Oryzias latipes: one gene and its partner. The protein of the gene in region 2 interacts with the protein of the main gene of each other region in a pairwise test. Links are inferred from orthologs where the notes say so. Each region holds a gene or a part of one and is shown on either strand. Other genes may lie near its edges.

Region 1 (5,297 bases), on a different chromosome or scaffold from region 2:
TTTTGTGTTTGACGGTTAAATTCTCAGATGAAAGCTGAATGAAAAGAGCTCCAGCAGCAGTCCGCGCCCTGAGCTCATACATGTCGTAGTCATGAGCCCATTCTACGTTTCCCCAGTGACTTATCTGCAATAAGAAAAACAGAGTTCTGAACTCAAGAAAAGAGCATTAAACAACAGATATTCAAAAAACAAATTTGATATAAAATAAACCTAGTTACAATGGGGTTTTTTTTTCCCACTACATAGTTAGATATCATTGTATTAATAGAATAATATCTGTTTCTTAAAACAGACAAAAATCAAACAAAAAAGTCTTAGTATAGTAAATATTATAAAAGATTGATGGTAAATCAAATGGACTTTTCCCACCTGGTATTCTTCCTCCAGTCTGGAGAGCAGCACCGCCTGCTCCACTGTCAGGTATCGGTCAACCATCCCCAGTGAAAGCAAAATAGACTTCAGCTGCGAGATCACAAACTCAAGTCCTGCAAAGAAACAGACACAATTCTTAAACATTTCAAAAACAATAAATACATCATCTCAGCCTGCACAAGTTGAGATCTATAGATGATCACGTTTTCTGGAGTTGAGATGTCTTACCCGTCAGGGACCAGAGGCTGTAAGAATTGAGATGCTGTCGAAAAGTTTCCTTGGTTGCCTGTGGAATTTCAGGACCCAGAATGCTCGATGAAGATCCAATAGTGACATTGTATCTGCCATGCAATAGTACAGAGAAAATGCATAATAATGTATGGTTTACTGAGACAGTTCCTACATCATTTGGAAGTCTACTGCACAAGATGTGAAGATTAATGCTTTTGTTTTATTTTTTTTACCGGTTTTCAATCCAGTGCAGAACCGGATCCCACTCGTTCTTCTGTAGGTCCACTAAACCAGGAGGATCCTCCACTCTGTAACTGAATCAAAGCATAAATAAATCACTGTTTTGTGACAACAAGGTAACTTAATCTGAAAATGAAACTTAAAAAAAAGAGGCAGCCAAATGGCAGATGCTATAAGAGAGCAGCACAGCCTGCTCCACAGTCAGGTATATGGCAACCATCTCCGGTGAAAACAAAACAGACCTTGCTTTCACTTTACTGGCCAGACAATGATGGTCCTATTAAAGAAATTAGGTCAAAGAAAAAGTTTGTTGCATTCATTTTCACAGTAATTCTTTATTTTTAATGCTTTGGAGTCTGGAATCATCTGACAATGGACCGAGAAAAAAAAGTTTCTCCTGCAAATATCTAGTATATGAAATTCATAGAAGTTCCAAAATTCATTTCTTTTATTTTATTTCCATAAACAAAAATGCTAGTTTTCTGCAATAAGCTAAAAACATCTGCTTTCTTTTACAGTGGCATTACAGTTTAGTGCAAAATGCTACATTAGTCAAATAAAGGGAGATAACTAAAAATACACTGCATAATTATTAATAATAATCACAATAACAAAAGGATCAACACAAAAAAACAGTAAAATAAAATTGTTAATTAGCTAAAGAAATTAAGAAAGTGAACGTTGCTAAATCCTAAGCTAATATGCTAAAGTAAATAGAAAATGTAAAAAGATATATAGTGCCAATAAATGTATTACAAATTCACACCTACACAATAAAGTAGCTAAAACATAATAATTGTAAATAAAAGACTGATGCAAATCTGTTTGCTAAAACTACTAAGGTATCCATAAAACAATTAAGCAGACAAGTGTAAAGAAGTTGAATATTTCAGGACCACAATAAAATGTTTAAATTAAATTCTGAATAAGATAATAAGTTTTTTTTAAATATGTGTAAAAAGTTAAAAAGACAAGGGAAATAAATAAATATGTAATATATAAATTTAAAGAACTAAAGGGATTATCTAATACATAGTTGACAGTTAAACAATATATCTCATTATACAAGTATAATTTATAATAATGAAAAAAAAAGTCTAAATTATATTAATAGGTTCGAACATTTTCAAAAAGCTAAAAAGTAATTGCATTTTGACTATTATTTGCAAAAAAAATTGCAAAAAAAGAGCACAGAATGGCAGATAACGTTTTATTTTTTACAAAGAGAAATAGAAAAAAAAAAAAACATATTAGATGTAGTTGCATCTCACAAGTCCAGGATTTGTTTGGGTACTTTTTATCTAAACAAACCTAATTTTGAATTTTCTATTGTTTTGGTATTTCTGTTAGGTGCTTTTATTTTGAAGTCCTTGTTGCTTTTCTCTCTAGATTAAGAACATTTTTTCTCCATTCAAGTAAAATATTGATTTGAAATACAGGTGTTTTATCTTTTAAACTGAGTAACCGGCATAAATGAGCCAAATAATCATCAACTCTGGACAGAAACAGTATAAAAGCTAAATCCATACCAGATCGTGTCAGTCTCCAAAAACTTCAACGCTGAATTGATCATTTGCTCCTTGTTGCGTTGGGTGGGGTTGTCCAGAGCCGTGTTGCACAAAGTGGTCTGCAAGAAAAGTTCAACCGGCATATGAGTACGGCTGGCTACACACTGTGGTGTAAATAGGTCAGAAAAAATATCCCATACAAGGTGCATGGTATAAAACTTGAGTGTCCCCCTCTGAGCATCCCACTCTGTTGCCACGGCGATAGCCAGGGCTTCATTTGGTACTGTGAACAGCTTCCCTCCTGGAGTTTTGAGTTTCCTTCTATCCAGATTTATTTCATACAAACCATCTATGGACAAAATCGTCACAAAATTAGAGAATATAATCAATCTTGGTCTTCCCTGGAACAATAAATAAAATTATTTTAAATTTTAAATAAGACTCACCATCTCCTTGAGATATGCTGACATCTTGATAAAATCTCTTCCTCTCTGTCAAATAGCAAAACATGTAGCACATGATTAGCACACAGCATATTGATAATTAATAATAGTAATGTCAAAATAAACACGTTTACCTGTAGATGCAGTGGAGTATTTTGACAAACACTTGGAGTACTGATGACTGGGACACGACTTGCAAACTGAAATTACATTTCCAAAGGAATTTCGAAGTTGAAAAACACGTCTAAACATATTCATACCTAAATTTGGACGTATACTGTTTACAATAAAAAAGACGATTCACTAGCGATTTCTTAAGCCGGTCTCTCACGCACTAAAGTACCACATTGAACAAACAGATCTTGAGTGTATAATGAACCTGACTCTACAATAAATCTGTTGTTAAACATTAAGGTTTTCATCTAGCTTACAGTAACACATCGGTTCAAAACCACGCGTGTGACCTTCGATGCTACAAAGCTACAAAATGTTTTCATTGCATGCTTTGGGAAATGTAGTTTATTTTTGGCACTGCTAACGCTTACACATCACTTAAAAACTACATCAAAAATGTTCACGAATACTCTTCCGCCTGCTCAGCCAATGAGCGTCGACGATCTTCGAGGGTGAAGTTGTTGGACCAATGAGATAAGCCGTTGCTACTGGTTACAGCGCAGCTTCGAAGTCCACTTTTAGTTCTGGGGAGCTTGATGCTTCGCAAACTGAACTGTGGCGCAATTAAGAGCAATTTGAATGTTTGAGGACCTCCTCGGGACTTTCTTTCTGGCTGGTCGTACAGGTTGACCGAGTCCCGCTGCCGCACGGCCGTTGACCGCGGTTGGAGTTCAGCCTGCGAAGCTGGAGCTATGCCTGTCCCCGCTGGATATCTCAGCGAGTTCCCGGCCGCGGCCTTTGCATCCTCGGCCTCGCTTATCCCGCTGCCGCCGATAAACACTCACCAGCCCGGTGTTGTCACGTCGCTGCTGTACAGCGGCTCCAAGTTCAGAGGCCACCAGAAAAGCAAAGGGAACTCCTACGACGTTGAGGTGGTCTTACAGGTGGGGGGCACCGAGGCGGAAATGTTGCTTTTCGTACTGCGAGCGCGAGGCTTTCGGGTGATGTGTCAAAGTGGCGGCTGGAAGAGTGACAGCTGAAAAAAAAAGGGGGTCCCGGCCTGTCCTGGACCAACTGTGGGTGTAGTGGTGGGAGTAGCAGAGCAACTGCGCCCAAACAACACCGACTAACAACAACCAGCTGCACAATTTTCTACCAGTTTAAATTAACACAAACTATCACAACTAGCTTAAATGTTGCAACATTAGGGGCTGTTGACATTTTTTGAGAAACTGCAGCTTCTGACCGTCAAGTTTTGTTTTTGTTATTTTTTTTAACATAAATTCAGTGGAGATTTGACCTAAAAGTTCTGTTTATTATTTGTTACAGCATGTCACAATGGAGGATTCCTACTTGTGTGGCTATTTGAAAATAAAAGGACTCACAGAGGTCAGTTCTGTTCATATTTAGAGGATTCATGTTGGAATATGTACATGTGGATGAACTGGACTTAGAATTTTAAATGTTTTTGCAAGTTTTTCCTCCACCTTTTGTGTAATTTTTCTTGCAATGACTAAATATTAGTCCAACTGATCGTGAGCCAAATAATTCTACATAGTTTTTTGTTTTGTTCTGCCTCTGAAGTGCAGATATTTTTAATTAAGGGATCGATTTGCTTAGAATATTTTTAAACGTCTTAATTTTCTATTAATGATTTATACATAGCGATAACCTAGCCTTAACGCTGTAAAGTTTACAAAACAAGATTGTTGGTATAATCCAGTTGCACATTTTCGTAGGAATATCCGACCCTGACCACTTTTTTCGCCGGGGAGATCATCAGCAGGAAGAGGCCGTTCCTCACCCGAAAGTGGGATGCAGACGAGGACGTGGATCGTAAGCACTGGGTAAGTAAGACGACACTTTTTCCACGCTCGGCGTCCGCGGCGACGTGGCCGTCTCGCCGTAACTTTATATGCGCTCTCTTTTGGCACCAAGGGCAAGTTCCAGGCTTTCTACCGGTATGCGAAGACTTTTAACTCTGACGAGTTCGACTACGAGGATCTAAAGAACTCGGACTATATTTTTATGAGGTGGAAGGTAAGCCTCGACCTGTTTGCTAGTGAACTCCAAGATGCAGCCGCTCTCATTTAGCTCCTCTCTGTCTGCAGGAGCAGTTCCTAGTTCCTGACCACACCATCAAAGACATCAGCGGCGCCTCCTTTGCAGGATTCTACTACATCTGCTTTCAGAAATCTACGGCAACAATCGAGGGCTACTACTACCACAGGAGCTCCGAATGGTAACGAATCACACCTGCGTTGGTTTGAAAAATAAGTAGATCTCACATCCTTTCACAGATTTGCACTGACATGGAAAAGATGACTCGACGTCACAGGCATCCTGACGGAGACGGCATCAGATTTAGGAGAAAACAACCAATCGTTTG
Region 2 (5,196 bases):
AAGCCGTCGCAGAACTCCAGCAGGTCCCAGTAGACCGGGTACTGCAGCTGAAACCAGAACAGAGGAACCGTCAAGTCCAGACGCTCAGGGAAACGCTGCACCATCCGTTCAGGCCGGACTCTTCATCAGAACCTTCATCAGCGACCGGAATCAACCGATGCGGATAAATGACATGTAAACATAAAGGATTGAGTTAACGTGAAGATGTGCAGGAGAACAGGATGAACCTGCTTACCGAGATGACCCGGTACCCCCAGCCCGTCAGGGCCAGAACCTGCTGGAAGAAGACCTCGGCCGTCCCGCTGACCGGCGGGAGGAAGATGATGGGACAGCGCACGCTCTTCGGGCCGGCGTCGTACAGAGACCACACCTTACTGTCGTCGTCATCCACGATGATCTGGAGGAAACAGGAAACCAGAGAACTCGCCTCAGAGAGGGCGGGGAACCAACGGAACCAACGGAACCAGAAGAGAACGCTCCAAAGAAAGAAATGCTAAAATCTAAAATCACAAAAGTTTAACAAAAGAGGAAAAATGTGAAAAGTGCAGCGAGAAGCAGAAACATGCCAAACAAGGCCAAAAAAAAGCAAATACAAATGAATCTCTAAATACTACGAAAATACAACAGCGTCATGACGGTCCATAAAGGGTTCGGTTGTTTGTTCATCACACGGGTTCTGTTGTAAAAAATAACCTGCGATGGATGAAAATGGCGGCGTTAGAGTCTAGATGTTTGAAGGCAGAAAACTCCTGACTGAAGACTTTCTAGACGTTTCACTCTGACAGGTCAGACCTTTGGAGAAACATGAGACGATAGCAGGAGAACAACCATCTGATGGGTTCTGTTCAGGAGACGGACTGACGACAGCCAATCAGGAAGCAGAACACTAAACGATCAGCAGCACAAACGTCAGAAGTGAACCGCGACCACAAGAAGAACTCAAAAGGCCGAGTTCAACCAAAATGATCAACCGGAGCCAAAGGCTGAAAAACACCAACTAAAAAAAGAAAAAGAAAATTCTGCATCTTAAAAAGCAAAACCAGAACAAATAGCATCCAGTTGAAGAATTCATGTGCTAACAGCTAAAATGTTAGCATTGACGCTTTGTTCTATGGCAGCCCCTCCCACCAATCAGGAGTGAGCTTGTTGGAAGGCCACGCCCCTACCACTGGAAAGCTGTAAACGTTTTGAACACTGGACAAGGGGGTCAACAGGCTCCGCCTACTTTTATTGAGGCGTCTGATTGGCCAGTTAATGACTTGACTAACTTGAGATACAGGAAAAAAAAAGAGTTTTATCAAGTAGATGTTTAAAAACAAAAAGGTATCCGATCCAGAACGGTTCTTCTGACCAACAGAATGACAGCTGTTGATTTGCAGATACTTCCTGTTTGTAGCAAAGGGGAGGGGCCCCTCCGTCCAGTTCCGGTATACAGTCAGTGGTAACAAAAGAATCTGCAGAGAGGTTTTTCTGAAAATCTTAAATCCTTCAGATCAAACTTGTCTGGGGGGTTTTAAGCCGTGCTGCCAGAAGCTGACCTGCATCAGTCACTCAACCTCTCTGTCCCAGAATGCATCTCTCCTGAAGTGCATGAGTGAGCAGAGGGAAAACGAGTGGATTCGTGCCAGTAAAAGCAGCACATGTGATGCCCGTGTGAAGCTGAGGGAAGCATGTGACGGCTGGGTGATGAACGCCGTCACATGACTCTCCACCTCTCAGAGCCTCAGCAGCAGCGGCTCAACCTCCAGCTGCGGGAACCAGCCGGGTGTCGGCTCCAACGCCAAACAAATCCCCATTTTTAAGAGATCTGTGAGCTAAAAACCCGACGGGAATAATCGTCTTATTCCAAAAGACAACGCGAGCCGTTGTTCCACCAAACAGCAGATCCGAGGACCAAACCCGTTTTCTGAAAGCTAATCTCATCTTAATCCAAGAGGGCGATCCGTGCCGCTGAAATCCAGCCTCAGATTTCTCATTTTCACGCAGAACTCAACACAAAAGTCATGAACTAAAGCAATCAGAACGATTGTTTAAGCAATAATTGACCACAAATCTTGAAAAAAACCTAACAAACTAAATGCAGAGACGCCTGACACTCATGAGGGGATTTGTGAGGTTTAAATTAAACATCTTTAGCAGAAAACGTTGTGATATTTTCTTAGACTAAAATAGAAACACAGCTGTCAGGCTCCAAGCTTCCTTTTTCCAAGGTAAAACCTTTTTTTTCTGCTGTGGAATGAGATGCAGAGTCTTCCTACTATATTCACTAACCACAAAAACAATGTTTACAACAATCTGAATGTAAATAAAATTTGAAAAAAGACAACATTTGAGCAAAATCATAAAAACTTTATGATTTTATCAAACATCTGTTTGAGCGGAGCTTCATTTTTCCAAACTGTGGTTCTCCAGAAAAACCATAAACCAGTTTAAAAAGTGAATACAGGAAACAGGTGAGACAGAAGGGACAAAATGAAAACACGTAATGGCGAAGGGGCGTGGTCTAAGCAGTGCGTTCTTGGTCTTATTTTGTTGTTTGTCAACTGTTTTCATGGTGATTTTATTGAACAGAAGGGAAGCAGGTCACAAGATCAAGTATTAGTGCATAACATTTGTAAAACGTTTCTTAGACAGCGTGACAAGCTAACGTGTGCTTTAGAGACCATGATACTACCACCACCTGTCAGCTTAAAGACCACGCCCTCATTTCCATATAAAGTAATCCTCAACCTTTGAATAGGAGGGCTTTAAAACCAGGTACGGTAAAGAACACGGGCGCTAAAGCCACGGCGATTAAAGGGTTCATTTACAGAACCAACCGAATTCTACGACAGAGTCAGTCACAAAAGTCTGGAGGACATTTCACAGCAAGCCTCCTCCGACTGTAGGTTGAGGCTAGTAAACAGAAGAAGAAGAAGAAGAAGCCCCTCCCTGCAGGCGCAGTGTGAACACCTGGTCTGAACGGTGTGCATGTAGTTTCAGAAAAATAACCTCTCTGGGTTTAAGGAGTTCAGCTGTGTTTGTCCTGAAGCTCGGTTCTGAACAGGTTCGGCTCATCAGAACCTGAAGGTTGATCCAGCAGGACAGAATCCCGATGACCCGTCACGGAATGGACCCCTTCACACCTGGGGTGCTTTTGTATCACGTGACCACGAGAGCAGGTGTTTCATAAGAATTTCAACGCGCGCGAGCGTTAGCCCTCATCGCATCGGCGACGGTCCAGCTGCTCCGGAGTGAGGCGCGTGACGAGGCGGGAACTTACCCTCTTAAGTGGCACGGTGCTTCGGAACCAGTTGTAGTCTGGAGACACCTTGATCTCCTCCATCTGCGGACACAGAGACGGTGACTCAAGTGTGTGTGCGGGGGTGTCCGGGCTCAGCTGCTTCCGCGCGGGGGCAGCTGTTAGCCATAATAGCGGCTAGCTGCTAAACGAACCCCGCGGTAACCCCGTTAACGGCGTAGAAACCGACCGCCCCGCCAGCCCCACTCACCGTGGACGTCACCGTGTCAGAGCCCACGCCGCTGCTCGGTGAAGGGTCACCGTGTCCGGAGACGTTTGTCCATGTCGGGTAGCGCTTGGAGCGGCTGCAGCTCGGTCATGTGATTTTCCTTTCACACACTTCCGCAAGTAGCCTCTCCGGTGCTGCGTTCGCGGTCGCTCTGAAAATCCTGTTCTCCGGCAGTAAGAAAGCCGCTTTGGTTTCTTAAGTCTTGCTTAATTTCTGTTGTCGTTACAGTTTTCATCCTATACAATGTAGCACTCAAATGTATTCAATGTTTGTCTGAATATGGAATCAATAGAAATGTAAGAAGACATTACAGACTCGAGATTCTTTCCACACAAAACCCAACGAATCTCCGAATCCCCGTTTTTCTCAAACGCATCGGTCAAACCTCAAGGTAATTCTTCTCATAATTTTAACTTCAGTCATCAAAATATTTGGATGAAAAACTTTCTAAAACAAACTTAATTCTTGAATGAAATGCGTTTTTGTTCGTAAATTGTTCTGAAATTACAATTCATACAAGTAAAATGGAATAATTTACATCTTCAGTGTGGATCAGTCTTTCATTGAAATCCTGTCTGTTCTCATTTTTTTGTGGTTTAACCTGGACAGGAAACTGAAATGACAAGATGTGTAGATTGGTTCCGTTTCCCAGAGCGGTGTTGGTGTGTCGTTCAGACTTTGGCCCCCATCGGTTCTCCAGCTGTTTCTTTAAAAGCTTCATCTGAAATCGTTTAACCACCTCCAAGTGTGTCTGACGTGACGCAGAGAAGATCAGTTATGGAAGGTTTAAACTGCTTCCTCAGGTCGTCCCCACTGTGAAGGTCAGTTTATTGGAAATGTTTTCTTCCCATTTGGAACTTAAAGGCAGCTTTAAAGCTTGTGAAACATGAGCGTAACCCCAAAGTGAATTTATTTACCCTAAACTGTTTAGCTGTTTAACAAACGTTTGATAATGAAGATAAAAAGGAGGAAAACCACAAAAAGACAACAGTAGAAATGATTTTTTTACCAAACTTTATAAAGTTGAGGGAAGTCCTGGAGCCCCAAACAGACTTAAGGACACATTAAGGGAAGAAGCTGCATCAGATTCTCTTCCAGGCACATCAGCGTCTCAATGACAAACGTTTTGGCAGTGAAAGCTCCAGAAGACAGAAGAAGTGCTTTAAGACGTTGGAATCTCCCATCCGACACATGCAGAACGGTCCTGTGCAGCAGCGTTCTGCACTGCTGAAGGTCTGAAGGATGGACGCATTTGAACTCATTCACCAATGTCCAAAGGTCAAAACCTTAGTGAGGGGGCGGGGCCAGAGCCCAGACCCACTGTGGTTAGTCTAGAACACGTTTGAGTCTCCTGGAAAGTATCAAACGTACAGAATCACAGAGAGCAGAAAATCCCACTAACCAATCCCTGCTCAGAATATGAAAAGCCCCGCCCACATCACACAATTTAAAGTAAAAAAAAAAAGTACCAACAGATGTAGAAATACACAAGTCGTGTATTTCTACTTTTCCCTAAAGGTATAAATGCACATTTGGATGAACGTTTCCGTCCGTTAGTCCTTCAGCTGCTAAGCCGATGTGGAAGTTTGAAAAAGCTGGAAGTTTTCTAAGGTGCTCAGTGTGAAAACACACACAAACACACACATTTAACGCTGTGACACATCAGTGCAGAAACACCTTTGCTTCC

The links.
Region 1: the proteins of spg21 (region 2) and atpaf2 interact in binary tests that used the Homo sapiens proteins (3 or more experiments, as listed by UniProt). The two-hybrid records come from large-scale screens. The link is inferred for Oryzias latipes from reciprocal best matches to the Homo sapiens genes SPG21 and ATPAF2.

The regions. Positions count from the first base shown.
Region 1 is NC_019877.2:3,255,828-3,261,124, reverse strand, and holds the start of atpaf2 (ATP synthase mitochondrial F1 complex assembly factor 2), read right to left. Parts: upstream 3,297-5,297; 5' UTR 3,053-3,296; coding exon 2,929-3,052; intron 2,843-2,928; coding exon 2,798-2,842; intron 2,701-2,797; coding exon 2,552-2,700; intron 2,471-2,551; coding exon 2,373-2,470; intron 918-2,372; coding exon 837-917; intron 714-836; coding exon 601-713; intron 486-600; coding exon 370-485; intron 125-369; coding exon 1-124. Other genes in the region: gid4 (glucose-induced degradation protein 4 homolog), read left to right, coding at 3,661-3,852, 4,238-4,297, 4,648-4,755, 4,847-4,948, 5,020-5,150. UniProt on the Homo sapiens protein: Plays a role in the assembly of the F1 component of the mitochondrial ATP synthase (ATPase).
Region 2 is NC_019861.2:37,279,703-37,284,898, forward strand, and holds the start of spg21 (maspardin), read right to left. Parts: upstream 3,626-5,196; 5' UTR 3,492-3,625; intron 3,326-3,491; coding exon 3,263-3,325; intron 398-3,262; coding exon 236-397; intron 48-235; coding exon 1-47. UniProt on the Homo sapiens protein: May play a role as a negative regulatory factor in CD4-dependent T-cell activation.